Stegostoma tigrinum: one gene and its partner. The protein of the gene in region 1 binds, or shares a complex with, the protein of each later gene. Links are inferred from orthologs where the notes say so. Each region holds a gene or a part of one and is shown in the gene's direction. Other genes may lie near its edges. The genes, in order: tnksa and usp25.

Region 1 (17,407 bases):
GTGTACATCACCCCGCCAAACAGCATCCCACCCAGACCCATTGCCCTATCCCTGAATTACCCATGTCTAACTCACCTAATCTAAACGTCCCTAACTCCACAAAGGCAGTCCCCCAAGGTTGGAATCGAACCCGGATCTTTGGCGTTGTGAGGCAGCCGTGCTAGCCACTGAGCCACCATGCCACCCCTCCGTTACTTTACCCTCCGTTTCTGGTTTTTACTTGTTTCACCCTTGTCCAAACATAGACAACTGGTCATTGGTTCACCATTTAGCCTCCAATTTACTTCCACTGTAATTGTTTCAACTTTGACTTTAAGTCCCTTCTTTTGCCTGCTATCTAATTCATGTTGAGGACATTTAAAGGACTGACAGTCCTTCACTCACATCCATTCTGATTTGATGTCATAGAGAAGGTGACACCTGGACAAGGGTGACAGATTGCACCAGACCAACATCCCTACAAGGATGGAGTGGGGGGTATGCTGGTGCTGTTGGTGGGGATTGAAACTAGTTTGCCAGGGCAATAGAATACAGAATAGAGGTACAATACAGAGTGATCCACACATAGAGAAGACCAAATCAGTCTGGAAGACGGAGTCTTCATAATCTAGTTAAGGCACAAAGAGCACGGTAAGGTTAGATAACATTTAACTGAATGCAAGGTGTAAGGCAGATGAGTTGAGGATGCTGCTTACTAAATGGGGATATAATTACTACCCAGGGTACGGAAACTTCAGGCCAGTCAAGTGGTGGAGCAGGGAGTTGTAAAAGAGGTAGTGTTGCAGCAATGATCAAGGAGTTAATTCTGGCAATATGGAGGGACGATATCTTTGAAGAATCCCAAATTGAAGCCACATGATAGAAGTTAAAAACAAAAAGTGGAAGTCCTCCAGTTAGGAGTGTAGTATAGGTTCCCAAATAAACAGTTAGAAAGAGATAAAAAGGCAGATTTGTGGACACATCTCAAGTGAAAATTATTAAGGTAATAATAGTAGGGGATTTCAACTTTTTTACTCTTAACTGGGATAGAAATGTGAAAGGCTTAGAGAGGTGGAACTCTTAGAATGTATCCAGGAGAACATCTTGGGTCAAGATGTGGTAAGTCCCACAGGTGGTGTCGAACCAAATTTTATGGAACAAAGCTGGCAAGAGGTAGAAGTATCAATTGGGATGCATTTTGATGACCTGACCATAACTCAGTAAAACTTACGGTATTTATGGTACATGATAAACGTGGACCAAAAATAAAGGTTCTGAATTGGGAAAGGCCAATTTTAATAAGACAGCAATGGCCAAAACAGAGTGGGAGGAGATGCTTGTAGGAAATGTACATAAGAGCAGTGTGAGTCATTTGAAATGGACATATGAAAATAACCTGCACTTTACTAAGGGTGAAGGGTAGGACCAAGAAGGCTAGAGAACCCTGATGTCGACTAATATATATGGATTAGGAAAATAGGTAAGGTTAGGGCTGATACTGGGGACTCAAAATAGCAGAAGCCCTAAAAGAGTGTAGAAATCGCAGGAAGTTATCTCAAGAATAAGGTACAGAACAAAGAGGAGGCATGCAAGAAAACTGATGGACAAAATAAAGGTTTTGCACTGCAGTGGTACGTAGATGGGGTCTATTTCAATATATTTGTTTATCACACTGGTGGTTGAAAACCAGGCCTCCAGGAATTCGTCTTTGTTTTGCTTGTCCATTGTTACTTTGTCCAGTTAAACTAGAATGTAATAGAATGAAGGAGAGTTGGCCATGCTGTTTTGCTGTGAGTTGGTGTTCGTGTATCCTGGTGGCAAGTTTCCTGCCCATCTGGCCTATGTGGTGCTTCTCGCAGTTGCTGCATGGTATTTTGCATATCACATTTCTCCTGCTCATTGTGGGTATAGGGTCTTTCGTCTTTGAGTGTAACTGGCAAAGTGTGGCTGCTGGTTTGTGTGCTATCATTATTCCAACAGGGCGTAGGAATCTCATAGTCAGTTCTGATATATTTCTAATATAAGGTAGGGTGACCAGTGTGTTGGTGTTGTTTACTTGCTAGGCATCGGTGGATAAAGCTGTTAGGATACTCATTATTTGTAAAGATTTTGTACAGATGTTCCTCTTTGTTTTTGCACAGCTCCAGGGTATTGCAGTGTGTTAATCGCTCGTTTAAACAGAGTCTTGACACAGCTCTGTTTGTGGTCACTGTTACTGTTGTAATTCAGGATTTGTTCTGTGTATGTTGTCTTTTTCTATATACACTGGTGAGGAATTCACCATTGTTTATTCATTCCAACATTATGTCTAGAGTTGATTGTTGTTCTCTATTCCCCTGGTGACTAGTCAAACCAAACCGGACCATATACATTCAGGGTGGGTCAGAGTAACACAGCTTCAACTGAAGCTATACAGTGCTGAAGATGTCACAGGGAAAACCAGATAGCTCAGCGAACAAACCAACAACACCAACCACAACCCAAGCTGAGATCACAAGGTGTAAAGCTGGATGAACACAGCAGGCCAAGCTGCATCAGGGGAGCGGGAAAGCTGATGGTTCAGGCCTAGACCAAGCTGCAGATCTTTGCTAAAACATTATAGCTGTAGATGAGATTTTAAGTTAGTTGTAAAAGAAACAGAACAAGAAGGCAAAGATTTAGAGAGTGTTGTGTAACTGAAGCTTTTGTGATGTGAGAGATAACTTTTCCACACAGTGAGCAGTTAAGAATATGGGATGCACTAGCTGTAAATTCAAGATTAACACTTGAAACACCATAATGTACAAGGCGACAGGCACGATGCTGCAAAATAGATAGTTGCTTGATGGCAGACACAAACACGAAGAGCCAAACAACCTCTGTCAATGCAATAAGGCTCTAGAACTCTCTGAATCACCAAGCTGATTAATCTGTCTGACTTTGATTGATATCTAGGTCAGAAACTCCCACCGGATTTATCAACAAACAAAAGAAAATTAAAAGCCAAATTTATTCCTTAACAGTTAGCAACACACGTTAAAAGCTGCTACTAAGCAATCTTAAGCAATGTCTCCTTTAAACCCAAACCTGCATACAATAATTCACAAATGGGACACATGGCTCTGCAGAAATATGATTGGTGGAAAGTATTGACAAAAAAAGTGTTCTGTGGTTCAACAGTCAGTTCCACGGGTGGGAATGAGATGCCTTTATAGTTTGTTTTTTGGCAATTGTATCATGTTACGATCAACTCCAGAATGATAGAAGATCCTCATTTTGGCAGGAGGTCAATGGATGTACGATTTTACTTGAGTTGTAAGTTGCTACCAGGGTCTTGCAGTGTGGACTTTTTATTTTGACTCTCAGATAGAGACCAGTTTACTTCCCTTGCAGACTTTCTGGAGGTCTGAGTTTTACTTTCCCTGATCTCAAGCCTGTGTCAAATTGCAAGTTAAATACTCAGAGGCTGTTAGAACTGACAAAAACTGCAGATGCTGATTTCTCTCCACAGATGCTGCCAGGCCTGCTGAGCTTACATAAGAATTAGGAGCAGGAGTAGGCCACATGGCCCCTTGAGCTTACCCCGCCATTTAATGAGACCATGGCTGATCTTTTTGAGACTCAGCTCCACTTACTCACCCACTCACCATAATAACCCTTAATTCCTTTACTGTTCAAAAATTTATCTAGCCTTACCTTAAAGACATTCAACGAGGTAGCTTCAACCGCTTCACTGGGCAGGGAATTCCACAGATTCACAACTCTTTGGGTGAAGAAGTTCCTCCTGCCCTCAGGCCTATATCTGCTTCCCTTTATTTTGAGGTGATGCCCTCTAGTGCTAGTTTCACCTGCTAGTGGTAACAACCTCCCTGCCTCCACCTTATCTATTCCCTTCAAAATCTTATATGTCTCTATAAGATCTCCCCTCATTCTTCTGAATTCCAATGAATATAATCCCAGTCTACTCAGTCTCTCCTCATAATCCTACCCTCTCAACTCTGGAATCAACTGAGTGAATCTCCTCTGCACCCCCTCCAGTGCTACTATATCTCTTCTTAAGTAAGGAGACCAAAACTGCACACAGTACTCCAGGTGTGGCCTCACCAGGACCCTATACAGCTGCAGCATAGCCTCCCTGTTTTTAAACTCCATCCCTCTAGCAATGGCAGACAAAATTCCATTTGCCTTTTTAATTACCTGCTGCACCTGCAATCCTACTTTTAGCGATTCATGCACAAGGACACCCAAGTCCCTTTGTACAGCAGCGTGCTATAATTTTTTACCATTTAAAACATAATATATTTTGCTGTTATTCCTACCAAAATGGATGACCTCACACTTAACAACATTGTACTCCATCTGCCAGACCTTTGCCCAATCATTTAGACTATCTAAATCCCTCTGCAGACTTTCAGCGTTTTCTGCACACTTTGATCTACCACTCTCCTTAGTGTCATCTGCAAATTTTGACACACCACACCTAGTCTAAACTCCAAATCATCTATGTAAATTGTAAACAATTGCGGTCCCAACACTGATCCCAGAGGCACACAACTAGCCACTGGCCGCCAACCAGAAAAACACCCATTTACCCCTACTCTGTTTTCTACTGGTCAACCAATCCTCTATCCATGCTTTATTATCCATGCTATTACCTGTAATAATGTGCAACTTTATCTTATTTTGCAGCCTTTGGTGTGGCACCTTGTGAAATGCCTTCTGGAAATCCAAATACACCACATCCACAGGTTCCCCATTGCAATTAATGTCCTCAAAGAATTCCACCAAATCAATTAAACATGACCTACCCTTCATGAACTCATGCTGGGTGTTCCCAATGGGACAATTTATATTCAGATGTCTTGCTATTTCTTCCTTAATGATAGATTCAAGCAATTTCCCCACTACTGAAGTTAAGCTAACTGGCCTATAGTTATCTGTTTTTGTCTGCTTTCTTTTTTAAACAGTGGTGTCACATTGGCTATTTTCCAATCTGCGGGAACTACCCCTGAGTCCAGTGAATTTTGTAACTAATTACTAGTGCATTTGCTATTTCCCCCATCATCTCTTTTAGTACCCTGGGATGCATTTCATCAGGGCCAGGAGACTTGTCTACCTTTAGTTCCATTAGCTTGCCCAGCACTGCCTCCTTAGTGATAATGATAATTTCTAGGTCCTCACCTGCTATAACCATCTTGCCATTAGTTTTCGGAATGTTATTTGTATCTTCCACTATGAAGACCGACATGAAATAACTGTTTAATGTCTCAGCTATTTCCTCATACCCCGTTATGAAATTGGCCTTCTCATCCTCCAAAGGACCAATGTTTACCTTCACCAGTCTTTTACAATTTACATATTTAAGAAACTTTTGCAGCCTGGTTTCATATTCTGAGCTATTGTATTCTCGTAATCTATATTACTTTTCTTTATAACTTTTTTTTGTGGCTTTCTGTTGGCCTTTAAAGATTTTCCAGTCTACTAATTTCCCACTACTCTTTGCTTTGTCGTATGTGTTTTTTTTTCAATCTGATGCTTTGTTTCCTTAGACATCCATGGCTGGCTCTCTCTTTTCCTGCAGTTCTTCTTTATCACTAGAATATACTTCTGCTGAACACTGCAAGTCCTCCAATGTTCCTCAATTGATCCACCATAAAGTTTTTGCTCCCATTCTACCTTAGCTAACTCCTCCCTCATTCCTTCATAGTTTCCTTTGTTTAAGCACAGGACATAGGTACTGGATTTAACGTTCTCATGTTCCATCTGTATTTTCAATTCAACCATACTGTGATCGCTCCTTCCGAGGGGGTCCCGAACTGTCAGATCATTAATTATTCCTGTCTCATTACACAGGATTAGATCTAGGATAGCTTCCTCCCTCGTAGGTTCCATTACATATTGTTCAAGGAAATTATCGCGGATGCATTCTACAAACACCTCCTCAAGGGTGCCATGAACGACCTGGTTTGATCAATCGATATGTAGATTAAAATCCCCAATGATAATTGCTGTACCATTTTTACATGCATTAGCTATTTCTATGTTTATGGTCCGCCCCACCACAATGTCATTATTTGGTGACCTATAGACCACACCTATCAATGACTTCTTCTCCCTACTATTCCTACTTTCCACCCAAACGTTTTGTTCAGTAGAACCTATAATCATCTCTAACTACCGCCCTAATATCATCCTTAACAAATCAGAGCAACACCACCTCCCTTACCTTCCTGTCAGTCCTTCTGAACAGTTTGATACCCCTGGATATTTAACTCCCAGTTATGACCATCCTGTATCCATATCTCTATAATGGCCACTAAATCATACCCATTTGCCATGATTTGTGCTGTCAACTCATCCAACTTATTTCGAATGCTCCGAGCATTCAAATAAAATTTCCTTATGTAAGTTTTTGCACCTTCTTTTTGGGTCCTATCACCTTCATTACTAACAGCTCTCGAGTTCTCCTTCCCTTTAATTTTTTTCCTAATTTTCAATGGAGTTGAAGCTTCTTTGTCACCTGCTAACCTGTTGCTTTGCCTTACATTAATTCTTATTCTCCCTCTATGCTCACTTCTCCCGTCCCCACTACTTACTAGTCCAAAGTCCTATTAACCACCCTATTTACTATTTTCGCTGGAACTCTGGACCCGGCCCTGTTCAAGTGGAGTCCATCCCAGTGGTATAGATCCCTCCCGCCCCAGAACTGATGCTAGTGCTCCATGAAAAAGAAACCTTCTTTCTCACACCACTCTTTTAGTCACATGTTTACTTCCCCGATCCTCGCCTCCCTAAGGCAATTTGCACGTGGCTCGGGTAGCAATCCAGAGATTATGACCCTTGAAGACCTGTTTTTTTAAACTTTTGTTCCTAGCTTTTCATAATCCCGAAACAAATCTTTTCCCCATTCCTGCCTATGTCGTTGGTCTCTACATGGACCACAACAACTGGATCCTCCCCCTCCCTCTCTAGTATCCTCTCAAGCCAGTCAGGAATTCTTCGCACCCTGGCACCGGGCAAGCAACACACCATGTGGGATTGTCTATCCTGCTCACAAAGGATACTGTCCATCCCCCTGATGATGGAATCCCCCACAACTACAAACTGTCTTTTTGCTCCTCCCTCTTGAATGGCCTCCTGGGCCATGGTCAGTTCCTGCAGCCCTGTTCCTCATCCACACAGGGGGCAAGTGCCTCACACCTGTGGGACAATGTCAAGGCTCCTGTGTTCCTGTCTGCACAGTCCCTCTACCTGCCTCACTCAGTCACACACTGCTGTCCCTGCCCGCTGATCAAATTAACATTAGTTAATCTACCAGGTGTGACTGCCTCCTGGAACACAGCATGCAGGTATTTCTCCCCCTTCCGGATGTGTCACGGCGTTTGGAATTTGGATTTCAGCTCATCAATTTTGAGCCAGATCTCCTCAAGCAGCCAACACTTACTGCAGATGTGGTCACTGCCGTTCTCAATCAGATCAGCTAGCTCCCACATCATACAGCTACAACACATCACCTGGCCTGCCACCTCTACTTAGTTAATTATTTAAAATTAATTAGATTTTTTGTAATTTTGCAGTGTTCTCTGCACCAGTTTTCTCCGTTATATACTCAAACAGACTCCGGCTTTGCCTTCCAACCTGCTCCCAGAGGATTTGGTGTCTAGGTGACCAACCCAAAAGATAACAAAGAGATGAGGAAAAAAAAATGCAAATAGCTTACCTGCTCACCACACTTAATCATTATTATTAGGTTAGGTTACACGTGTAGTATCTTGGGTATTAGTTAACTCCCAGATTCATTGGGTGGAAGCTTACCTTCCCAGGATGCCCTTGTGCTTTCTCCCAGACTCCTGCCACTGATACAACTGAAATTCAGGTTTATCCACCAATTTCTATTTTCGACTCAGAGGCTGTTTCTAGGCCAGCTTCTCAACCCGACAACTCTTCAGCAACGCGTCACTATGACAGGCTCCAGCTTTTGACCCGCCCACGAGCACAGGTGAGCGCATGCAAGGAGTTCCCAAATCGGCCAATCAGAGTTCGGGCCAATCAAAAGGCCCTGAAGAATGACCAATCAGGTAGCGAAAAGCTGTCCATTGGCGTGAGGAGGTGTCACCCCGCGTCAGCCTCACCACCACCCCCCGATCCCCCCCCCATCCCCGAAACATGCCCGTCCGTAGGGCCGGTGCTGGGTACGTGCACGATGCGCGTGCGCTTCACTCCACTCCACCCCCACCTCCCGACGGGCGCCGCCGCTTGGTGTCGGCGTGCGCGCTCAGTGCCTCAGTGACGTAAGCCGGCGTTGCTGCAGTGACGGTCGAAGATGGCGGCGCGGCGGAGCCAGCTCTCTCCCAGCGCCTCGGACCCCGGCCCGAGCTCCACCCCAACCCCGACACCGGCCTCCGACAGGCCTGATTCGCCAGGATTCACCGGCGGCAACGCCACCTCCCCGCCTTCCGGGGCAGCGGTGCCGCCGCCGCCACCACCACCAACAACTACAACAACAGGAGGTGGAGGGGGGGCGGTGAATGACTCGGGCCGAGAACTGTTCGAGGCCTGCAGGAACGGCGATGTTTTGCGGGTGAAGCGACTGGTGGATTCGGGCAATGTGAACGCCAAGGACATGGCCGGCAGGAAATCCACGCCGCTGCACTTCGCCGCAGGTTTGTACGTCGATCAGGCTTTTAGAGCGGGGCCTATAGGAGGTGGGGCGGTCAATGATCTCCTAGTGTGCGGATGGGAGTCCGGGGCTGAGATCAAGAACCTCAAGAGGCCTGGACTCGTCGCCGTCAAAACAACGCAACAACTTTGGGATCGGGGCGGGGTGAGGGATGAAGATGTTGCCATGGGTTTGAACAAGGGTAGGAACAAGGATGGCTTAAAATCAGAGTCCGAACATGGGCCCTCTTCAAACTGCGGATACTGCATTAAAAGAGTGATAGCCCCATACGATCTTTGTCAATTATCGTGTGGCAGTAATTCATATTATTTAAATGGACTTCACAGAGATCGGGAGCTGGAGAACGTGTTAACGGGAATGGTACGGGGAGGATAAATCTTCATTTCGCGTTGACGATGTAAACATTAGTTTCATTATTGGGTCATTTGTAACAGCAGCGGCGGCTGTGTCGAAATTTTGTTGCACACAAGTCTGTTCTCAAGTAAAAGTACCTTGTCAATTTTGGAGCATTTGAAAATGGTGGTAGTGACAAGGCCAACCAACTCGCCCACTAACCTCCTCCACCGTCGGGATGGCTCGGATCTGAGGAGCTTGGAGAGGATATTCCCAAGAAAGGAAGGTTTAGTCTCGATAAAATAGGTCTTTTCCTGTCTTCTGAACTGCTCCCCATTAGCTTAAAAGTGCATATCTAATTGGTAAAAGGTTTGGAGGCCATAACATTAAGGAGAGGCAGCAGTGTAGTGGTAATGTCACTGGATTAGTGAACCAGAAGAGACTAATAGTGAGGACATAGGATCAAATCCAACCACGGCAGGTGAATTTTAATTCAGTAAAAAATCTGGAATTAATTGAAGCTGGCCTAATGACAACCATATAACCATTGTTGACTTGTAAAAAGCCACCTTGTTTTTTCGTGTCCTTTAGGGAAGGAATCTATCATCCTTACCTGGTCGAGCTGTATGTGATTCCTAATTGATGGCTCTGCAGTGATGAATGCTGGTCCAGCCAGTGATGCCCACGTCCCATGTCCAAATTAATAAAAGGGCTTTGTGATACACAATGAATCATAGCATCTGTACAGTGCAAGTAGAGGCAATTCAGCTGTCAGGTCTGCACTGACCCATTCTATCCTATGTTTACCATGGGTAATCCACATAGCCTGAACACTGCGGGGCAATTTAGTATGGCCAATCCACCTAACCTGTGCATCTTTGGGTTGTGTGGAGGAAACTGAATTCCCCTTTGGAAACATACACAGATACAGGGAGAACGTGCAAACTCCACACAGTCACTCAGTTGTACCTTGGTCCCTGATGCCATGAGGCAGCAGTGCGAACTACAGTGGTACCATGCTGCCCACCTACAATGGACCAAATGGTTGCTAAGAATTTCCTTGGTGTGACTGGCGAATACATAGATCGCGTGTCCTGGTTTAAGAGGATGCATAGACTGGATAAGTATTTTGTGGTTTTGCTTTTTTTTTCCCCCCGGTTTGGGGAGTGAAAGGAATCCAGAAGTATTGTTAGAACTCACTGATTTTTAAAATTTATTTTTGTGTTATTCTTTTATTAATTTTGGTTTATTGCTGAGAACTGTGAACTGAAGCTGTTAGAAACAAAAATAAGCCATTGTTTGTTTGTGACGTCAAGTATGAAAGTTAATTACAGGTTGATTCTTGATCAAAAGGATTCTATAGACTATTTGACACTGGGGAAAGCTGTCTGTCTAACCAGACAGCAGATGTTTGGCCATTGACAATGTCAATACCTGGGAATTCTTACCAGCAAGTCTGCAAGGGAACATGATTGGCAAACAGAGGGAGGGCCAGAGTTTGAACTGGTTTTTGGACTGGTTTATGAGAGGAGGAGTTTGTTGATGTTACAGCATGAAAGTTGGAAAGCTCCTTGCCTAACCTCCTCTTATCAATTCTTGGAAGTTCAGAAAATGTAAATAAGTAATGCCTTCCTTTAGCATGAACTGAAAAGATGACATTGATGTCTTAGGAATGTCAACCGAGAAACCTTTGTTTATGCCTGCAGAACAGACATTGTGAAAACCCCATAAGTAATCTGGCCAGTTTTGTTATTTTTATTCATGCCTTAACTCTGTCTGTGTATCTCTTTGTATGAAAGGAGGCTGCAACAAAGGTTTTTGGGTTTCAATCATCAACATGAATGAGATTACTTGCTGTGTTAATAAATTGTTATCTTTTGTTTAAGTTTGTAAACCCGGTGTCAAGAATTGATTATTCACAGTTTAGGATTGGTTATTCAAAAAGTCTGGCCAGGAATCGTTGGGGTCTACTTTGAGAGTTTTTGAAGGTTTTAATTTCACTATGTTGTGAATACAGATGTGGAAAAGCTGGTTTGATTTAGCTTTCTGTCTCTGTGTCGTAATAGTATTTATTCACAATGTAGAAGACACCATATTGATTGTATGTTCTTGTAATGTAGTACTTTTTGTTCTTGACTAACGTTATAAGTGATAAATGTAAGGTCCCTCTCTGAAAAGCCGATACAGCAGTGTGGGTTATAACTAAAATAGTCAAAGTACTCCTCTGAGCACAAAGTGTGGAGCTGGATGAACACAGCAGGCCAAGCAGCATCTGAGGAGCACAAAAGCTGACGTTTCGGGCCTAGACCCTTTCGAAACGTCAGCTTTTGTGCTCCTCAGATGCTGCTTGGCCTGCTGTGTTCATCCAGCTGCACACTTCGTTATCTAGGACTCTCCAGCATCTGCAGTTCCCATTATCTCTGACTCCTCTGAGTCCCTTTAGTTTTGTTGATTCTGATAGAGTTTTTGAATGCAGTGAATCTTCGCAACTTAAAATATGCCTTGCAAAGGTGACCTTTCTAAAATACCAAATCAGAAATGAATAAAGTTGATACTGTGACTTGATTCTGTGATGTTAATTATTGTAAATAAGTCCAAGCCAATTCCCATTTTTAACTTAAATTTGCCTCATCAGGAATTAACAGTAACTTCAGTTGTTGTACTTTATCTTTCTGTTTATTGCAGATCTTCCTTTTTATCAGTGTTCTGGTGAGATATTGCAACATTTTAACCCAGCAAGCTGTCAGTGAATATTTCTAATAATATGGAGACCAGAGCCATCATTTATATTTAATTGTATTGATACCTTATCATTTTAAATTGAATCAGATTAACATTTGGTTGAATGGGACGTTATTCTCTTGGCATCAGCTAGCTGAAATATTTATGAGAAGTGAATTTAAGTAAACTTTTTTGTTTGGATTTTGTTACTTTGAGGTAAGCTTGAAGATTTCACTTGATTTGGAGTTTTATTTTCCTCCATTTTTGCCACAGAGAAGGAAATTTGGCTTCTTAAGTGTGTTTAGAATTAGTGGATCTTTGACTTGAAATATTCTTGCATTCGGTAGGAAACTTAAGTCCAAGTATGACGACTACTTTACTGATTAAATAGATACTTTTGGCTAAGTGAACTCAATTATACAGCATCATTGCCTCTGGCTGAAGCATTTATGTAGTCTATAAAACAGTTGTACCTTTGAGGTGAGTGTTCATTTTTCAGTGCCTTCAGGTTTTTTAAAACACATTTTTATTCTGCTGTATAAAATATTTATTTAGCAAGGAATACATTAATACTAGGTCAACTGGAGTGAAAATAATTTGGACAGCTTTGGACATGTTTGTAAACAACTGACGATTTCTTAAGACGTAGATCAACCATTATGCTGTAGAATGAAAGGAGAGGTACAAGGTGTTGAAAAGGCTTCTGTCCCCATGCAATTGAAGCAGTTAAGACCTGTGACTGATGTGAATTACATGGTTTGCTACGGGATAGGAAATGAGATTGTGCTGATATCCTGTATATTTCAAAGTCAGCAAGGCCTTCATGTTGCTGGGAGAATTTACGACTCAATTTTCAGCAGTTCCAAAATGGTATTTTAAAGGCTAATGATATTTAAATGAAAAATAGAGGCTGTCATGGGGCTTCAGGGACTTGTATTTACTTTTTTAATGGAAATAGTGAGGCAAGAGGTGATTGGGGACTGAATGTTTCCTCAGCCAGGAGGAGAATATGTTGTTGACAGCTGTTCTCAAACACATCACATATAGACAAATACTCGTGACCTCATTTTACTGTGAAAAGAGCCATTCACACTTTGGAGACATTGTATGGACTTAGTTTCTTTTTTTCCATCAAGAAAAACATGATGCTAGAATGTTCAATGGTTTGCTTTAGACTTTTCAAACTGCCTGTTCATAGAATATAGAAGGATGTAGCACAGAGGGATCCCAGCCCTTTGAAAGAATATCTAATTAGTCCCATTTCTTTGCTCTATCAAAGTTTCTCCTTCAAATTACTTCTTAGCAATTGACTATTTGGTCAAAAGTTTCTGTTTTGAATTCAGCTCATGTATGATTGGCAAATATTGCTGAAAATTTAGTACTAGAATAGATTATTTGGAATGTAATCTGTAAAATTAGGAAATTCCTCTTTCACAATTGTTAATAAGCTGTTTGAGGCACTAAGAGATATTGATTGAATGATGATCATCATGATCCTCCATTTTAAGGATGAAGTTTGTGAATTAGTAAAGCTAGTTTTTAATTTATCCTGAACTGAGTGTTCGGTTCAGATGTTTTTGCATGTTGTTCCATTGGAATGGGGCAGAATTGGCCAATGAAACATTTGATAGAAAGAAAATTTATCTTTTTAGCAGAGATCTAGTTTCAGACTTGTTTTCTTTTGCCATGGGCCCTGTACCTCACTGTATACCCTAGTTTTCAAATGCCAATGCCTGCTGTCCATAGCTGAGACAGAGCAGTGGGGTCAAGATGGTAAACTGTCTAGCATTCACCAGACAAAGCTATTGCCAAAATTCATCCCATTTTTAAGTTATATTGCCAAGTTTAATTTTATCATTTGCATCTATGGTAGTTGCAATTGGGTGTCCCCCTGCCTTCTCCAAAGGATTGTTATTGGGGGTAATCAAAACAGTACCCAGCTGATGGGAAATTTGAAACAAAAACAGAGAATGCTACAGAAACTCAACAGGCCTGACAACATCTGTGGAGAGAAAAGTGAACATTTCAAGTCAGAGTTGAAATGTTAACTTTTTTTTTCCACTCTCTCCACAGATGCTGTTCAACCAGCTGTGTTACTCCGGCATTCCCTGTTTGTTTTAGATTTCCATTTTCCACAGTATTTTACCTTTATTTGATGGGAAACTTGATGGATCAAATGACATTAGGTTTTACACTACATGAGATTTAAATCACAAAAGTTGATGTCACGATGCATTAGATTTGCAGTATTCTGTTGTCAACTGCTTGAATGGTGATACTTCCACATTACTGTCTGATTGTAGCAAAAATAGGTAACGTTAATTTTATGTTTGAATAGATAAATAGATTGAAGTAGAATTAGAGTTTTGAAGAGGTTCTGCATTAATGATAGTTCAGTAACATAACTGGGAGTCTAGCGGTCAGGATTAATGATCTGGAGACAGATCAAATTTCGCTAGCTACAAACCTCAAATTTATCAAGTGAATCTGGAGTGAATAGCCGTCAGTAATTGTGTCCATGAAATTACCAGATTGTGTTGTAGAAACCCATCTGCTTCATCAATATTTTTCAGAGAAGAATTCCTGTTGTCCTTTCTCAGTCTGGCCTAAACTTGACTCCAGACCCACAGCAGCATGTTGACATTTCATTATCTTCTTAAATAATCTAGTAAGCTGCTGAGGTGGGTCACCATCTCCTTTCCAGGCAGTTAGTGCCAGGCAATAAGTGCTGGTGTTGCAACAACACCTATGCCCAAGAATAATTTTTTTAAAAAAGATTTTAAAGTATTTGGAAATTTGGGTCAGGGTAACTAATTGTAACATGCTATAAACTTAACAGTACAAATTTTGGATCAGTATTTGAAATTGGCATATGGTTTTCTCTGTATGTGGAGCCCATATAAAATGTTTGAGTAGTATTCTCAATTATGTTGTTCCTATTGCTAAAAGGCATAAAGGACAAAAGATTTCCAAAAATGCTACTAAAACTCCAGAGATTGGAACTGTCGGGGAAAACTGAATGGTTGAGCTCCTTTTTTAATATCCCTAGATAAGAGAAGTTTGGGAGGAGACCAGAGAGACATCTTAAAATAATGAAGTAATAGGGGGAAGAAGAGAAGGCGTTTTGACTGTTGGGTTGCCCGCAACTAAAGGTGATTTAATGTGAGTTGGTCATCAACAGATCCAAAACAGATGCAGGAGAACTTTTTGTAGGGGAATACTTCGAATGCAGAACTTGATACTGAGTGTGGTTGAGATGATTAGTATAAATATTTTAAGGGGAATTTTAATACGTATATGGGGGGAGAATTGTACGGAAGGATATGCTGACAGGATGAGATGAAGTAGAGTATGAGGAAGTTTTTATTGCTCCTGAACACTGGTATTGAGCTGTTGGGTTGATTAGTCTGCTTTGGTTTGTAAATGCTTTGAGAGCAGTAGTATTTTACCTAGCCCCTGCAGCTATCAAAAAAAAATTCCATTTGTTTTGCAGCTGCTTCAAGTTTGTTTTCATCCTGTGATACAAAGTGCAGTATTGTGTTCATTTTCTATTTGTCAGCCAGTTAGCTTTTAAGACATGCAGCTTTGGCACTTTAATTTTCACTTGATGCTTATTGAATCATATCTAGCACTGTTTGACAGCTTCGAAGTTCTACAACTAAGAGTTGATGTCTTCAGACATTGCAGTTTAGCTCTGTCCTTCACTGGTGTTTGGTTATGAATGTTAAGATCTTTCAGTCATTTCATATAAAGACATTGTACGCATTCATGTGGTTGAATTTTGAGTGATTGTTTTAAACTAAATTGATAGCACCCTTATCAGAGAGTGTCATCAGACATTCCCTGATGTGCTTGATATCCGGATGCTGGCTAGTACTGTAATCTGGTTACAATTCAGGGAATTGAACTAGCGTAATGAGCCAACTAAAGTCTTTGTGTATAAAATATAAGGTGAGGTATGTTTTGTGTTGCTAGCAGCTGTAAGCAACCTCTTTAGTTCATCGCAAATACATGTTGAGGTTCAGCAGCTGCTGGGGTGAAGTTGGCTGCTTATAAGCGTAGCAAGAACTGTGTGTTCTTTGGCCATTCACCATTGAACCAAATTGTTCATGATTTAAATCTGTTATTTTCTCAGTGTGTCCCGTACCCCCTCATTGTCCGTAGATTACACTGAATGCCTTTTTGGATCAATGTATTATCTACTCGAATTATTCTATTATTCATCACATTTCAAAATATAGTGAGATGTTGTTACTAACTTAGCAGTTTGAAATGTCTGGCATGCTGAGAAACTGTAATTCAGCAACAATTTGGATTGCCTTTATAGATATTTCTAATTAACCAATTTAAAATTTGCAAACTTGTGGAGCAGATGGGACGTAAACCCGAGTCTCTGGTGTAGAGTGTGTCTCTTTGCCACAAGAGCCTTTTACCTCTGGTGACTCCTCAGCAAGGTTCCATAGGTATTTACAGTCACCTTTTGAGACATGTAACAACTTGTGCCTAAAGCAGATGGGGCTTGAACCTGGGCCTCCTGGCTTTATATACTGAATTTTATGACTATACCCACAGTTTATTTTGTCCATAATGTGCCGTTATTTATATTTAGCTTATGTCCCATGATTAAGTTTTAAAATGTTTTTAGTACTGAGGAGATACATTTACAGCAGCTGTTTGCCCTAGGTCTCATAGTTTCCTTTCCCTTCCCTTAGCCCATGGATACAAAATGTTTTAAAGCTGCTGTTGAGATTGTTTGTTTATTTAAATATGAGTACAGGTAGGAACTCTAGGGTCTGCCTGGTATAAACAGTACCATACTCTGCAGCACACTAACTCGTTGAGCTTTCAGGGCCTTTGTCACGTGATTGAAATTGGCATTGTCAGTATGCAGCAGCATTTTAAATAAAGCTGGATGTTGATTTTCCTCTTTCAGTTTCTTTGGATTTAATTATATTGTTTGAGCTTATCCTCTTTAAAATATAGAGTTATAGCAGAATGTTCATTTATTTTTGCGTATATTTTGTCAAAATCTTCATGCGACAATACAATTTTGTTTGATTTATTTATTGTCATGTGTCTTGTTACAAAATACAGTGAAAAGTATTGTATTGTGTTGCCGGTCTCTGGCGCCATCTTAAAACACAGAAAAGCCAACCAAAACCGAGAATGTAAAGGCAGAAATGTGAAGAAATAATGAAAGTGTTCAACTTAGTCCTCCTTGTTCAATGCCCCATCATGGGCCTGGGGGCCAGACACAAGTCCCCTTTGTTGCACCACTGTTGCTGGAACAAAAGTTGCTATTCTTCAGCGCTATCATGCCTCCACCAATGTCCTTGCTGTATCTTGCCAACGCAGACGCCACCAATGCTTTGGGGTCCCTTTCCAGCCCAAGCTTGACTCTGCTGCTGTCATAGTTCTGCTTTACTGATGAAGATGAAGCTGCTGCTAATGCTGCCAGGCTTGTATTAGGCCCAAGCTTGCCTCCGTTGCCACCTCCATCAATCTGTGCTGGTTGCAGACCCCTCCAGGATCCCAAACTTGCCTCCGCAGCCGCAACCACGAGTTGGCGCTAGGGCTCGGCGATGTAGAAGATGTTGGGGACCCACATTCATCATCAAAGTCACCGCCACAACTCTGTAGAGTCAGCACTGCTGGACCAATACACCACCAGCAATACCGTTGCCACGACAGAGACCTTCACCTAGAGGTAAGTAA
Region 2 (16,457 bases), on another chromosome or scaffold:
ATGTACTGCAATCCTTGATCCTTGAAAGTTGCCATCCAGGTTGACAGGGCTGTTAAGAAGGCATACAGTGTTTTAGCTTTTATTAATAGAGGGATCGAGTTCCGGAACCAAGACGTTATGGTGAAGCTGTACAGAACTCTGGTGCGGCCGCACTTGGAGTATTGTGTACAGTTCTGGTCACCGCATTATAAGAAGGATGTGGAAGCTTTGGAAAGGGTGCAGAGGAGATAGATTTACTAGGATGTTGCCTGGTATGGAGGGAAGGTCTTATGAGGAAAGGCTGAGGGACTTGAGGCTGTTTTCATTAGAGAGAAGAAGGTTGAGAGGTGACTTAATTGAAACATATAAAATAATCAGAGGGTTAGATAGGGTGGATAGGGAGAGCCTTTTTCCTAGGATGGTGACGGCGAGCACGAGGGGGCATAGCTTTAAATTGAGGGATGAAAGATATAGGACAGATGTCAGAGGTAGTTTCTTGACTAAGAGAGTAGTAAGGGAATGGAACGCTTTGCCCGCAACGGTAGTAGATTCGCCAACTTTAAGTACATTTAAGTCGTCATTGGACAAGCATATGGACGTACATGGAATAGTGTAGGTTAGATGGGCTTGAGATTGGTATGACAGGTCGGCACAACATCGAGGGCCGAAGGGCTTGTACTGTGCTGTAATGTTCTATGTTCTATGTCAAATATTGAAATTTCATTCTTTCTGAAAGTTTGAATTTCTTTTTAAATATTGTGTCTCTGTGGAGGTTATAAGAATGTATTCATTTCAAAGAGTTAGTTCTAATTAGATCATTGGCTCACATGAGCTTATGAAACCCTTCACTATTTTAGCTTCCTCAATTAAATGACTTCCTCCAGTTGTTAAGACTTATTTGTATATAACACAGTATTGTCCCTGTAAGTGAATCATCCGCAGCATCATGCAGTGAGGGTATGGAAACCCTGATGAGAAAATTTGAGGATTTACATCCAGGGACTGGAAGTGAGACATATTGTTCGAACAGAGAAGAAGAATCTCAAAGTTGCAGTTAAAACATTGACCTGGAAGTTCTCAATCTGGCTGATTGATGACAAACGTATAAGGGTCTTTTATCCACGAGCAATTGATGTCTTTCTCAGAGCAGAATTCATTATTACCAGCGTTTTTCTTTTTACACAGTCTCTAACAAACTCATTCCCTCCTTCTCTGTCTCTCTAGTATTGCCACCTGAATCCCTTCCAGTTGGCTAATAAATTGGGATCATCCATTCAGCAATGCTCCAAGACTCAAAAAGATGGTCCTTGTGAAGATCAAACTGAAGTGACATGGAAATGTGGAGAAGCAAAAAGCTAACTATATATGCAATATTAACTGAAGACATCTCACTGTTGCAGATTCAGCAAGCTTGAATAAAAAAAAACAGAAGAAAACAAAGTTGCCATTATTTCATTGCTTCCTGTTTTAAGACTTCAACTTTGTGACCTGAGATAGTAGGAACTGCCGATGCTGGAGAATCTGAGATAACAAGGTGTAGAGCTGGATGAACACAGCAGGCCGAGCAGCATCAGAGGAGCAGGAAAGCTGATGTTTCGGGTCTGGACCCTTCATCAGAAATGGGGGCGGGAAAGAGGATTCTGAAATAAATAGGGAGGGGGGGCAGGCGGTTAGAAGATGGATAAAGGAGAAGATAGGTGGAGAAGAGGTCAAAGAGGCGAGGGTGGAGCCAGTAAACGTGAATATAGGTGGGGAGTTAGGGAGGGGATAGGTCAGTCCAGGGAAGACAGACAGGTCAAGGAGGCAGAATGAGGCTAGTAGTTAATGGGGTGGAGCTTGAGTGGGAGGAGTGGATAAGTGGGAGGACACGTTAGGGAGGTGGGGACGAGCTTGTCTGGTTTTGGGATGTGGTGCGGAGGGGAGATTTTGACGCTTGTGAAATCAGATTGATAACATTGGGCTGCAGGGTTTCCACATTGATACCCTCCCCATTCCTCCCACCTCAAGCCCCACCCCGATCTCCTACCCACTAACCTCATCCTGCCTCCTTGACCTCATTCCTCCCTGGACTAACCTATCCTCTCCCTAACTCCCCACCTACATACACCTTCACTGGCTCTAACCCCGCCTCCTTGACCTGTCTTTCCTCCCTGGACTGACCTATCCTCACCCTACCTCCCCACCTACACACACCTTTACTGGCTCCACCCCCGCATCTTTGACCTGTCTGTCTCCTTTTCACCTATCTTCTCCTCTATCCATTTTCTATCCACCTCCCTCTCTCTCCCTATTTATTTCAGAATTCCCTTCCCCTCCCCCATTTCTGAAGAAGGGTCCAGACCCGAAATGTCAGCTTTCCTGCTCCTCTGATGCTGCTTGATCTGCTGTGTTCATCCAGCTCTACACCTTGTTCCTTTGTGACCTGCATTTGTTAGTCACAAGAGTAGTGAAGGCAGTTGACTTTATTTGATCCCACATTGTTCTGATAGCGGAAAAAGTGGTCTACCAACTTATGATTTTTATCGTCTGAGTTTTAATATCTTGGATGTTTTGTTGAGACAATTTAAAATATATCTTTTAAATTGATAAAAAAAACTAACATGATGGCCACAGTAATTGTAAGACCTCTAGATGAGCCACATCATGAAATCACCAATCAACAAGACCCATTCTGAACTGAAATTAATAAGATTAGTCGCTCAGATCTGTATCTCCTGTTTGATTTATCCCATTCTGTAAGTTTCAACGTTAGGATGAACATCAATTATGGAGTATTCAGCTTGCAAACACCAATGAAAGCAGACACAGGAATACATAAAGGAATAATACTTAAGACAAATACCTTTGAGCATTGATTGAGAGAGGGTAAATGGATTCATAATAGACAATGACAATAGGTGCTGGAGTAGGCCATTCGGCCCTTCGAGCCAGCACCACCATTCATTATGATCATGGCTGATCATCCACAATCAGTATCCTGTTCCTGCCTTACCCCATAACCCTTGATTCCACTATCTTTAAGAGCTCTAGCCATCTCTTTCTTGAAACTATCCAGAGAGTTGGCCTCCACTGCCTTCTGGGGCAGAGCATTCCATATATCCACCACTCTCTGGGTGAAGAAGTTTCTCCTTAACTCTGTTCTGAATGGCCTATCTCTTATTTTTAAACTGTGTCCTCTGGTTCTGGACTCACCCATCGGTGGAAACATGCTTCCTGCCTCCAGAGTGTCCAATCCCTTAATAATCTTGTACGCCTCAATCAGATCCCCTCTCATCCTTCTAAACTCAAGTGTATAATAGCAGAACTGGAAGGCTTGCTTGCCTTTCTCCCTGTTTCACTCAGTGTCCCTTAAAATACAATGCCCAGTGTTAGAAGCAAATTGGAGAAATATATATTCACCAAGAACAGAAAGATATTCAGAAATTTCACTGCTGCTGAAATAAGAATCATCAACTTAATAACCGGGGTCGCACATTAAACCTAACTCCTTATAGACGTTTCAAACTGTATACACTTGAATTCCCTTCTTCTTACTAGATACTGTCTCTTTTGAAATGTTATATCTGTGTTTGCATGTGTGCTTGATGTCTCATTTTTATTTTTTTAAGGGTCAGTAATTAATAAAATCCTCCTTTCTTTCACCGAAGGAAACCCGTTGATTGACTCCTTACTTTTGACTAGTATTACATTTTAATTGAAATAAATGTGTGCTAAAAAGAATTTAAAATTTATTTTGCAGCCATACACTCATCCTTCCCTGGTCATAAATAATAATATAAATGCATAAAACTGCGGATGCTGGAAATCTAAAACAAAAACAGAGTCCTGGAGAAACACAGTAAATTTCTGCTAATGATGGAGTGCAGAGAAGTGACTACACTACACAGAGACAGACCACAGACATGGAGTGGGAGAGGCAAAGATAGAGAGAGAGAGAGATAGATACAGACAGAGACAGAAAGGGAGAGAGTGAGAGAAAGGGACAGGCAAACAAAGAGTTGAGCATAGAAATATCCAATGATAAGCCAGGAGGGAGATAAATGCTAAGTAGAGTGATAATGTAACGTATGGACAGTTGAAAATGTGTTGGCTATGTAGACAGAAATGCAGATAACGCGGGGGTAAAAGGGGAGGGTAGCCAACATGGAGTGTGATGACCACATTCTGAATTGTTAAACTCAATGTTCAGTCCTGAAAGCTACCAGGTACCGAGGCGAAAGATGTGTTGTTCTTCCAGCTTGTCTTGAGCTTTGCAGGAGCACTGCAGCAGGCCTAAGACAGAAAATTGCCATGGGAACATGGTGATATGATGAAGTGACAGAAAGCTGGAAGCTGGAGTCAATTTTATCAGCTGAGCATAGGTGTTTGACAAAGCAGTCACCCCAGGCTACTTTTTGTCTCACCAATGTTCACATAGTGAACAGCGAATACAGTACATTAGATTGGACGAAGTACAGGTAAATAGCTGCTTCACCTGGAAGGTGTGTCTGGGTCCTTGGTTAGTGAAGAGGGAATACATAGGCAGGTGTTACACCTTCTGCAAAGGCCTGAGAAGGCACCATGAGGGTGTGGACCTGGGTGTGCCGGAGAAAACAGTCCCCGTAGAATGCTGACATGGAAGGGGAATGTGTGTCTGCTGGTGCCATTCTGTTGGAAGTGGAGTAAATGATGGATTCTTTGGATACAGAGGCTGGTGGAGTGGAAAATGAGGATTGTTGTTGCAGGAGGGGACTGAGGGGTTACCTAATGCAGAAATGGAACAGACATGGCCAACGGCCCTGTCAACCATTGTGCCAGGATATTCTTGGTGGTGGAAAAAAGTGAACATTTCTGAGGGTCACTTGCAAATGGTAACATAATCAGAACAAATGCAATGAAGATGCAGAAACTGGGAGAATGGAATAGAGTACTCACAGGAAGTAGGGTGTGATGATATTTGGTCAAATTAACCTTGGGAGTCAGTAGATTTTTAATGGATATTGGTGGCCAGCTTATTCCTAGAAATAGAAACAGAGCTATCAAGAAAGGGATGGGAGGAGTCAGTGATGGACTGGGAAAAGGCAAAGGTGTGGTCATAACAATGTTTGTTTCGTTCTTGATAACAAGGTGTGGAGCTGGATGAACACAGCAGGCCAAGCAGCATCAGAGGAGCAGGAAAGCTGACGTTTCGGGCCTAGACCTTTCTGATGAAGGGTCTAGGCCCGAAACATCAGCTTTCCTGCTCTGAAGATGCTGCTTGGCCTGCTGTGTTCATCCAGCTCCACACTTTGTTATCCCGGATTCTCCAGCATCTGCAGTTCCCATTATCTTTGTTTTGTTCTCGTTGGGGTGAGGTTACACTGGACCTCCTTCAGTTGTTGTCATGTACTTATAAAATGTAAATGAGAGTCAGGAACTAATCTATACAGTAAAGCATTATTTAAAGTAAGTGTAGATCCACAGTGTTATTAAGGAGGGAGTTCTAGGATTTTGACCTAGTGATTCATTTCCATACCAGGATGATGAGTGGCTTGAAGGGGAACTCTCGTTATTCCCATCCCCAAATAATACCCAACCCCAGCTCCTCCCTCACTCAAATGACCCTCCCATTCTCCCCAGCTAATCCCCATTACCCAACCCATTTCTTCCCCAGAAGCTACGCCTCCCCGGGTTGTGCCCCTCAGCATTCCCTAAAAACACAGCCACTCTCCTAATAGCCTTTAAACACCTCGCACTTCCACCTCCCCATCCCCTCTCTCAACCTCACCCACTTTCTCCACCACCAGCCTCTCCCACCATCTCTCCTCCCCCAGCCTTTCCCACCTCTCTCTTCCACTACCCCTCCTCCACTCTCCAACCCACCTCACCCATGCTCTCTACCCTCAGCACCCCCCATCTTGGCCCCCACCTTGCCCCTACCATCTCTACTCCACCCTCTCACACTGTCTACACTCTCTGCCTCTCCACATGTACACCTCCAACCCTCTCTCCCTGTTTCCTCTTCCAATCCCAACGCCTGCCTTCAACTTCAGCCCCAACACCCTGTCTCCACATCCAATGCCTCCCCTAACTCCAAACCCAACCTTCTAACATTCCCCTCTCAACACCAGCCCCTCACCCTCATTCTGCCCTCAGCCGTTCCATCTTCTTCTCCTTCAGCCCCTTTTCTTGACGTAGCCCTGTCACTGTACCCCAGTAGCAATCCCTCCCCCACTCAGACCCACCATCTTATCCACCCGCCCCACAACCTCCACAACCGTTGCTCCGCCCCTTCAGACCTTGCACATACCACACCTTTTCATTGCCCCCATCTCTCCCCTACCTACATCCCCACTCCACAAACAGCCCCTCCCCTCACACCACCCACCCAAATTGACCCCGACCACATTCTTATTCCCTGCACAACACCTTCCCACATCCGCATCCATCCCTCCCCATTCCCACCCACTTATCCGCACCCTGGCCACACATCCAGACCTACCCCTCCACCACACATCCCATAGTCCTCACCAAGCCACACCCTCTCTCCCTGTCAAGCCCCATGCCTACCCAGCATGTCCCTGCCCTTTCTCCAAACCCCTCTCCAAATCCAGTCCCTCCCCTACACTCTTCAGACCTACCCATCTACCTGCCAAGCCCACTCATCTTGCCCCATCTCCTTCGCTCCATGCCACAACCACTTCCCAAGTTCAGCCTCACCCCTACCCTACTCAGCAACATTCCTTCACCACTCAGCCCCACCCCTACACCACAGCCCAACCATAAACCACTCAGCCCCACCTCTTCGCCATTCAGCCCCATTCCTGCAGCATCCAGCCCCACCCCTACACCAATCAGACCCCACACATTCACCCCTGTTTCCAGACCCTTTATCTGCTCTTGCCTCCTTTCCACGGCCCATCCCCTCGCCATACTAGCCACCCCATTCCTAGCCCCACCCTACCTTCAACCCCGCCCATCTCCCAGCAAGGCTCCCTGTCCTCTACCAGCCCCACCTGTTCCGCTCCCCTACTAGCCCAGCTCCACCCGTATGCCATTCCCACCCCTCGCCCTGAACCGATCCCCATCCAGCTCCGCCCCCTATTCTAGTCCCACCCCTCTCCCTGACACGCTCCACATCCAGCTCCGCCCCCTATTCTAGTCCCTCCCCTCACCCTGACACGCTCCACATCCAGCTCCGCCCCCTATTCTAGTCCCACCCCTCTCCCTGACACGCTCCACATCCAGCTCCGCCCCCTATTCTAGTCCCACCCCTCACCCAGACACGCTCCACATCCAGCTCCGCCCCCTATTCTAGTCCCACCCCTCATCCTGCCCCGCCCAGTATCGCAGCCCCGCCCAGTCTCCACCCTGTGCCCCTCCCCCTCTGCAGCTTCTCTCTGTTTGTGGATCGGCCATGACGGTGGAACAAAATGTCCTGCAGCAGCATTCACAGAAGGTAAACAAACAGGAAAGGAGAGGTTCCTTCCCACCTTGCCTTTTCCCCTCCCGCCTGTCCGCGGCCTTCTTGTCCACATGGACCTACGATGCCCCTGAATGTTCCTTTACTCGGGAGGGTCCGCCCGCCCGCGCCTGCATTCACCACCCCCCGTTCCCCAGACCGCTGCCGTTCGGTCACCGCCTGAGGAGCTTGTTGCCCCCGCTGCGCTGGCACGCGAGCCGCAGGCTTCTGGCCTAGCCTAGCAACAGCAACAATAATAATGCTACTGTAACGCCCAGGGTGTTAATGGAGCTGGCACCAGCCCCAGGTCGAGAGGCTCTTCCGAGATATTGCGCCTAGGCCAGCAAGGTTTTGAGTTTTAAATCAGGCTGAGAATGAAATTTGTAACTTGTTTATTTTTGCCTGGCGGTGAGGGCGGCAAGTTCAGTTCACTTTGGACGTAGTGTTAGGGTTTCACCTGAATTTTCCCTCCTTTGAGGCACAGCCCATAGTAGAGGACAATTGTAAAGCCTCACTAACAAAATCAGCCATTTATTTGTCTGTGTCCTCAGCCTCTAAGCTGCATTTTTCCCACCTGATCCTTTCCGCACTCTTCTTTTAAGGCACTCCTTAAAACCGTAAGCTTTTTGGTTGCCCCCTTCCTCAGTGTCAAATCTTGTCTAACAGTGCTCCTGTGGAGCACCTTGGCATATTAATCACGTTGTGTTTGCAAGTTGTAACAATTTCGTTCTGGCAGTGGAATGAAATTTTCTGAACTGCGTGATGCATTTTCACTCTTTTTGTTCTGAACCATGTTGTGTGTATGCGGTGCACTGTCTGAGGTACTTTCTCTCAAAATGATATGTCGAAGAGCCATACCTTCTGCTGTTTTCAGGTCATAAATCATACGACACCAGGTTATAGTTCAACAGGTTTATTTGAAAACACAAGCTTTCTGAGCCTCAGTCATTTAGTTGTTAATGAGAGGTAGTATCAGACAATTTATATGTAAAAGATCAACATTCCACACCATTGATGAGAATATCCTAAACAAATTTAAGATGCTGCTAAATCTTTAATCAGTTTTAAGGTTTTAATTAATATGGATATGTAAATCCACGAATTCCTTTCAAGCCACAGTCCTGAGAGAACTGAAGGTTTTACCAGAGTAAGGAAGAGTTGACATTTTAGGTTAGACAATGCAAGTTAGGTGTGTGACTTTGCTTAGAATCTGTTTGTGTTTTAGTTTGGAATCAGACTGGTTTTATTTCCAAAGTAGACATTTATATTAAAAAAAATTGTTGATAAGTTGTGTGTTTTTTGAACAAACTAAAATGTAGCTGTCAATACGTATTGACCCGATTGATTTGAGTGAGAGAAAGACAGTTTGAGAGAGTGATCAGAGATAATGGGAACTGCAGATGCTGGAGAATCCGAGATAACAAAGTGTGGAGCTGGATGAACACAGCAGGCCAAGCAGCATCTTAGGAGCACAAAAGCTGACGTTTCGGGCCTAGACCCTTCATCAGAAAAGACCCTTTTGTGATGAAGGGTCTAGGCCTGAAACATCAGCTTTTTTGCTCCTAAGATCTGCTTGGCCTGCTGTGTTCACCCAGCTCCACACTTTGTTATCTTAGTTTGAGAGAGAGAGTTGTGTGCATGTATATGTATACAAGAGTGTGTATTGTGGCGGGGGGGGGGGGGGGGGGGGCGTCACTTGTAGTGAGATGTGAACCCAAGATTCTGGTTGAGGCCATCCTCTTGGGTACCAGACATGGCTATTAGCCTCTGCTCAGTGTCTCTTCATTGTTGTGTATCCCAAAGTCCACTTGAAGATCCGAGGTCAAGCGTCCTTGCGTGTCGAAGTCTTCCCCCACTTGGAGGGAACATTCTTGTCTGGTGATTGTTGGGTGGTGTTCATTCATCTGTTGTTTCTCACACGCTCATTTTCTCAGTCTCCCCCCCCCCCCCCACCCTTCACTTACACACACACACACACACACACACACACACACACACTGAATTCCCCGCAACACACTCACATACGCACAAATCTACACAGACTTTGTCCATTCCAGTCCAACAGCGGCATTGCCACATCACTCTTTTCAGGTGGAAGTAGAATAAGCTGACCTCACTATATGAAAGAAGAATGGGGAACTTAACCTCTGGCATAGCCAAGATATTGATCACTGAAATTATAATACTATGTTCGTGATCAGATTGTGGTTTTGGGGCATTGCTTTGCACAAAATGACTGCCACTTTTCCCAGATTACAGTAGTGATTATGTTGCAAAAGTTCCTGTTTGTCTGTAAAGTGCTTTGAGATAATCGAAGATCAGGAAAGATGCGATATAAACTGAAGTTTTGAAGTTGTTTTTTTGATGCTTAATACATTATTGAGTTATTTACCTATTGAGTTTTGATGAATGATTATAATGTAAATATTGTGTATGCTTTTGTATATCTTACATATATTGTACTATGATATACTGTTGACATATTTTCTCTTTAAGTTATGATGTTGGCCTAGATTTAAAGGTCGACAGATGCATATTTTAAGATGCTCTTGTCTGTTGCTTATGATTTCTTATCAGACAAGGTATTGCAAATGTTTATTTTCTCATTTCCTTTCAATTCATGTTTAGAGAGCCCATCTGCTTGCATAGTGATAGGATTCATGAATTTTTATTTTAGGATTAATAGCTTGTTTCTATACAGAGCTTTCAGAGATCTTAGTTTATTGAAACTTTTGTATTGTCTTCCGTACAATTTTATTGGCCCGTTTTGTGCTGCTTTTGCTGTTCGTTCAACCAAAATTTTTCTTGCTAATGTCAATATTTTAAAACCCAACAGACCTGCAGAGTAAAATATTGAAGTAGTTGAAGCCATTTTGTGACAAGATCGATCAGTAGAGTGGAGTGTCATCCAAAATCCAGCTTTCAAAGCTGGTGAAGGACTGAGCAATAGAGAGTAGCCTAGGGATGTTATTCCAAAAGTAGAATTGAGATGACTTAAGAGACAGTAGGAACTGCTGATACTGGAGAATCTGAGATAACAAGGTCTAGCGTTGGATGAACACAGCACGCCAAGCAGCGTCAGAGGAGCGGGAAAGCTGACATTTCAGGTCGAGACCTTTCTTCAGTGCTGTTTGGTGTAAATTGTGCATATATGAAGAGAGCCAGAGGTGAAAGACTGTATAGCATTGACTGAGATAAAGGAGTTTACAGATGTAGTGTGGAATGAGGGCAGGCTGTGATTTAAACCCAGGGATATTGAATTTGGTGCTGTTGGTGTGAAATCAAAAACTGATTATTTACACAGCATTATAGAGATCTGGAATACTCCTTCAAAAGCTTGCTTAAGACTGGTGATCAACTGCCCCTTTCACAGTTGAGATGAATTGATTTTTACTTTGTCAGGTGAGACAATCAGAGAATGGGGGTCAAAGGCAGCTAAATGGGGTGAAGGCACAGATCACCATTGATCTAATTGATTGGCATAGCAAGCTTGAGGCGTTGTTTGACCTGTACCTGCTTTTATGAGATGATTGGCATAGCAAGCTTGAGGCATTGTTCGACCTGTACCTGCTTTTATGAGATGTGGGAGACTAGAGATCATCAAAGCCTGAGCTGGCCTCATTGTCAGATAAGGACATATGTGATAACAGTTCTAGCAAAGTTGTAATTTATTTTGGAAAAAGCTCAGAAAATTATTGACAAGTCTTTCAATAAATTGGTTTAGAGTTAAAGGAACGACAGTGATGGTAGATATTGGGTAGGGGTTTAGGTCAGAATTGCTGCATGAGTTGGCTGTCAGTAACCTTTTCTTGGAGTTTGAAATTTGATCAATGAACAAGACACTGAGCTTGAACACCACCAGGGATTGAAATAGAGTTGCAGCATGTTATACAATAAGTAACATCACATTGACAATGTTTAAAAATCGGTTTATTCCAGAGGCGGGGTGGGCGCACTGTGAAAGAGTTGACTGTCATTTTTGCATTTCCGTTGACTACTGGATGCCACAAAGCACTTTACAGTCACTGACAAACTTTAGAAATGTTGTCACTGTTGCCATGTAGGGAATACAGCAGCCAGCCTGTGCACAACAAGCTGCCAGAAGCCGCAACGTAATGCTAACCAGGTACTCAGTTTGTGATGTTGCTTGTGGGATGAGTATTGACCAAGGCAACATAGACAACTGCTGTGCTCTTCTTCAAAATCTTTTCATGGGATTCTCTTTTTTACCTCCATCTGAGAGTGTAAACGGAGAATAATTCTAATATCTCATCCAAAATGCAGTATAGAGATTAGTGGAATTGGAGTTCTGAAATCGTAATCCTTACATGCTACCAGTTACCCGTGCTAGACTGAGTTACTTGTCTGTGTCTATTGTACAGTTTGAGGACAGTGTCCAATATCGAGCATAGTTTCAGTGATGGGCCTTTGTATGACTGAACAAGCGGATTGGCAACTTGCAAATGTTTAGGCATGTAGGGTTGGCAAAATATTGGGACTCAGTGCAGGATTTGCTGTTTCTTTCTTTTTCTATCTCATCATTGAGGCATTTGAACTCAAAACATAATGCAGCTTGAAGGAGAAGTTGCTATTTTGAGCAGTTGGTTGCAGCCTCATCCCAGTTTTTAATGTCAGTGCTGTTGTACTTCACGAAGAAGTTCAGATTGTCTTTGCGGAATGCTGGCTGTTTCAGAGTTGAGTAAATAGGATTTGGAGGGTGGAAGGTGAGGTAGTTTGGCATGTCTCCTTAGTTGAGGAAACATCTAAACATCTGTTGATTCTCCTGCCAATTGCCACTAAGTGGTGACATGACTAAGTCAACCCAATTATGTATAATTTGTGTACAAAGAACAAAGAAAATTGCAGTACAGGAACAGGCCCTGTAGCCTTCCAAGTCTGCACTGACATGCTGCCCATCACAACTAAAACTCCTTACCCTTCTGGGCATCGTATTCCTCTATTTACATCCCATTTATACAGTTGTCAAGAAGCCCTTGAAAAGTCACCATAGTTTCTGCTTCTACTGCCTCTCCCGGCAGCAAATTCCAGGCACCCATCACCCTCTGTATATAAAAAAAACTTGCCTTGTACATCACCTTTAAACCTTGCCCCTTGCACCTTAAACCCATGGCCTCTGGTAACTGATTCTTCCACCCTGGGAAAAAGCTTCTGACCATCCAGTCTGTCCACATCCTTCATAGTCTTGCAGACCTCGATCAGGGCGCCCTTCAACCTCCGTCGTTCCAGTGAGAACAACCCAAGTTTCTCCAACCTCTCATCGTAACTAATACCCTCCATACCAGGCAACATCCTGGTAAATCTTTTCTGTGCCCTCTCCAAAGCCCCCACATCCTTCTGGTAGTGTGGCGTGTGGCGGCCAGAATTGAACACAGTATTCCAAATGCGCCCCAACTGCAGTTCTATAAAGCTGCACCATTACCTGCCAATTTTTAAACTCAATGATCCACCTATTAAGGGTACTCTGAAGGGTTCTGACATTTACTGTATATTTTCCATCTGGATTAGACCTTCCAAAATGCATTACCTTACATTTTTCTGGATTTAACTCCACCTGCCATCTCTCTGCCCAAGTCACCAACTGATCTACATCTAGCTGTATCCTTTGACGGTCCTCATTGCTATTCGCAATTCCACCAATCTTTGTGTCATTGGCAAACTTACTAATCAGACCTGCTACATTCTCCTCCAAATCATTTATATATATTGCAAACAGCAAATGTCCTAACACTGATCCCTGTGGAACGCCGATAGTCACACCCCTCCATTCAGAAACGCACCCTTCCACTTCTACCCTCTGTCTTCTCTGAACGAGCTAGTTTTTTTTAATCCATCTTGCAAGCTCACCTCTGACCCCATGCAACTTTAACTTCTGTATTAGCTTGCCACGAGGGACCTTGTCAAAGGCCTTATGAAGCCCATGTCGACAATATCCACTTCCCTATCCTCATCAATAATCTTTGTCACTTCCTTAAAAAACTCAAGTTAGTGAGACACGACCTCCCCTTTACAAAACTGTGTTACCTCTCCTGAATACGCCCACTGATTTCCAGGTGGGAGTAAAACCTGTTGTGAAGAATCTTCTCCAATAATTTCCCTGCCACTGACGTAAGGCTCACCGGCCTCTAATTAGCTGGATTATCCTTGCCATCCTTCTTAAACAAAGGAACAATATTGGCTATTCTCTAGTCCTCTGGGACCTCCCCTGTAGCCAGTGAGAATACAAGGATTTCTCTCAAGGCCCCAGCAATTTCCTCTGTTGCCTGTCTGAGTATCCTGGGGTATATCCCAACAGGCCCTGGGGAGTTGTCTGCCTTAATGTTTTTCAAGACCTGCAATACCTTCTGCCCTTTTGATCTCAACATTACTCAAGCCATCTACACACCCTTCTTCAGACTCATCATCCACCGAGTCCTTCTCTATAGTGAATGCTGATGCAAAGTACTCATTTAATACCTTGCCCATTTCCTATGGCTCCACACATAAGTTCCCTTCCTTGTCCTTGAGTTGACCACCCCTCTGCCTGGCTACCCTCTTACTCTTTATGTTAAAAAAAAGCCTTGGGATTTCCTTAATCCTGTTGGCCAATGACTGTTCATGACCCTTTTTAGCCCTCCTGACTCCTTGCTTAAGTTTATTCTGATGTTCCTTGGATTCCACCCTTGCTTAGTGTGTTCCCAGCCTCCTGGCCTTCAGAAATGATTCCTTTCTCTTTCTGATTATACCCCTTGTCACCCAAGGCTCCCTAAACCTGCTACACAATATCCCTCATCCTTAAAGGAACATGCCAGCCCCGAGTTCCCAGCAACTTACACTTAAAAGCCTGCCATATACCATATGTTGATTTGCCCCCGAATATCTGCCTCCAATCTTCATTTTTCTTGTATTAGTTTAATAATGAAACTTTGCAATTGTAGTTGATTAATTATTGAGGTCCATTTAAGCTATATTCATCTAAGTGTGTAACATTTATTTGGAAATAGTTGTTTGGCAGTACAGAGCTTGAATGATTTGAAATCTGGCATTGCTGGATAATCCTGTGTAAGAGAAGAATTATGCTGAGAAGCAACGTAGGTTTGTCAGTGGGCTTACAGTGTGATGCAGAGACCCTTCTTCTTTGCAGCCAGGAAGAATGTGTACAGCCTCTGCCTGATTCAATTCAACATAGGTGACAACAGTTCACCAGTTAATTTCTCAGGACAATGCCTTGACTAATTAGAGTCAACTTGTCTGGTTTATCATTTATAAAAAAAAACCCTGGCAGTTAACTGTCAATCAGCTTTAATAGGTGTATTCCCCATGGCAACACCTCTGGCTACTAGAGTCTACTTGCCATCTTCACATGAACTGTAAGCATTGACTTTCTCCTTGAATTGGTGTCCTTGTGAAATGTCCAGTTGAGTGCAAGATGAAGAGGTCTGATGACTGTACCTTTCTCAGCAATTCTTTTATTTCGGAGGGCATACTGAATGCACACTGTTTAGGTCAATAACATTATTTTAAAGGCAAAATTGACATAGAATCCCCTTCTTGACTTAGTCGGTTATCATATGTGTACACAGCGGCCTATTGATAGTTCATTAAACAGGGCAGTCATGAAGAATTTCATTATTGCCCAGTGGCACTTGCTGATGGGCTAGTGGGCAAGAGAGGGACTGGTTCCCAGACATGCACCCCACATCAGGCTGGCTCTTGCTGTCCTCCCTGTACACTACTTATCCTGTCGTACCATCTGAAGCTGAAAAAAGAAGCCAGAATTAGGAGTGACACATGAGCGTAACAGGAGATTGAAGTTTTTTATAATTGTTTCATTGAATGTGAACATTGCTGGCTAAGATAGCATTTATTGCCCATCCGTTTTTGCTCAAAGGATAGTTAAGAGTCAAAAAACATTGCTGTGGGTCTGGGTTTGCATGTCAACCAGACCGGATAAGGATGACAGTTTTCACCATTAAAGGGCATTAGCATACTGGACCGGTTTTTACAACAAGCAACAATGATTTCATGTTCATCATTAGACTCTTAATCCCAGATTTTTAGTGAATTCAAATTCCACCATCTGCCAAGGTGGGCTTCAAACCTGCAACTCCCAACTATTACTTGGGTCTCTACATTAATGGCCTAGTGATATTATCAGTATACTAACACTTGCCCTAAAATGACTCAGTCACAGCAGCAGTGGACAAACACCAGTAGCCTGATTGGAAATGTTTGAAATAATGGAAAAGGGCATCAAGATGGTGATGACAAACTTGAGTCTTATGATGAGAGCAGAAATGTTGCCTTGATGTTGAGATTAATCCAGCATTTGAAAACCGAAACGATCTACAACAAATATCTCAAAGCAGTGGAGATATATCACCAGTGATGCTTTCATAACAGTATCCAAAGCTTGTGTTGAGACTGGTTGGACAACAGCACTGCTCTTTCCCAGCCTACATGCTCAGTCTCAAGCACTAATTATTTAAAACCAGCTCCACTCAAGTATATCGTTCATGTTCCTGACACCGTACTCCAGTATTAACTGGAACAAAAACAAAGTTGCTGGAAAAGCTCAGCAGGTCTGGCAGTATCTGTGAATGAAAAAACAGAGTTAATGTTTCGGGTCCGGTGACCCTTCCTCAGATCAGTATTAACTGTTCTACTTGGAGCTCACTCATGGTAGGAGACCACAGGAATAGCTTCAGGTATGTCTCAAAGCATCCCGAAAAGGTCAAACACCCCTATCAATTCATGGAAGTCCCTGGCTTGTGACTGATCAAAGTGGAGAAGATTCAGTCGGGAGTGCACTGAATACATCGAGTCATAATTTTGGGAATGTGCAGAGAGATGTTGAAATGTTGGAGAGAGCACAGAAACCTTCATGCACCACAGCTCCTCCACCATTCAGGTGGCATGTAGGTCAGCAGATAAAGCATTGGAGTTAGGAGCTTTCTAAGAATCCAGTGAACTGGAGAGGAGACAGGTTAGCCTGTATTCTGAAGTATTGTCCAAGAAGAGGAGGAATATTTTAATGTCAAAACACTGTTTATGAACCAGA

The links.
Region 2: the proteins of tnksa (region 1) and usp25 are in contact, whole or in part, in a crystal structure (PDB 5GP7), measured with the Homo sapiens proteins. The link is inferred for Stegostoma tigrinum from reciprocal best matches to the Homo sapiens genes TNKS and USP25. Residues at the interface, in NP_003738.2 of Homo sapiens: Arg836, Ser838, His842, Leu843, Gly846, Tyr847, Leu871, Asn876, Ser879, Tyr880, His882, Asp900, Trp902, Phe904, Glu909, Gln912, Lys913, Gln934, Glu935; in NP_037528.3 of Homo sapiens: Ser1046, Ser1048, Arg1049, Thr1050, Pro1051, Ala1052, Asp1053, Gly1054, Arg1055.

The regions. Positions count from the first base shown.
Region 1 is NC_081356.1:13,988,950-14,006,356, forward strand, and holds the start of tnksa (poly [ADP-ribose] polymerase tankyrase-1), read left to right. Parts: upstream 1-8,228; 5' UTR 8,229-8,281; coding exon 8,282-8,621; intron 8,622-17,407.
Region 2 is NC_081365.1:8,218,053-8,234,509, forward strand, and holds the start of usp25 (ubiquitin carboxyl-terminal hydrolase 25), read left to right. Parts: upstream 1-7,301; 5' UTR 7,302-7,354; coding exon 7,355-7,396; intron 7,397-16,457. Other genes in the region: zgc:153372 (arsenite methyltransferase), read left to right, coding at 1,204-1,338. UniProt on the Homo sapiens protein: Deubiquitinating enzyme that hydrolyzes ubiquitin moieties conjugated to substrates and thus, functions in various biological processes including inflammation and immune response.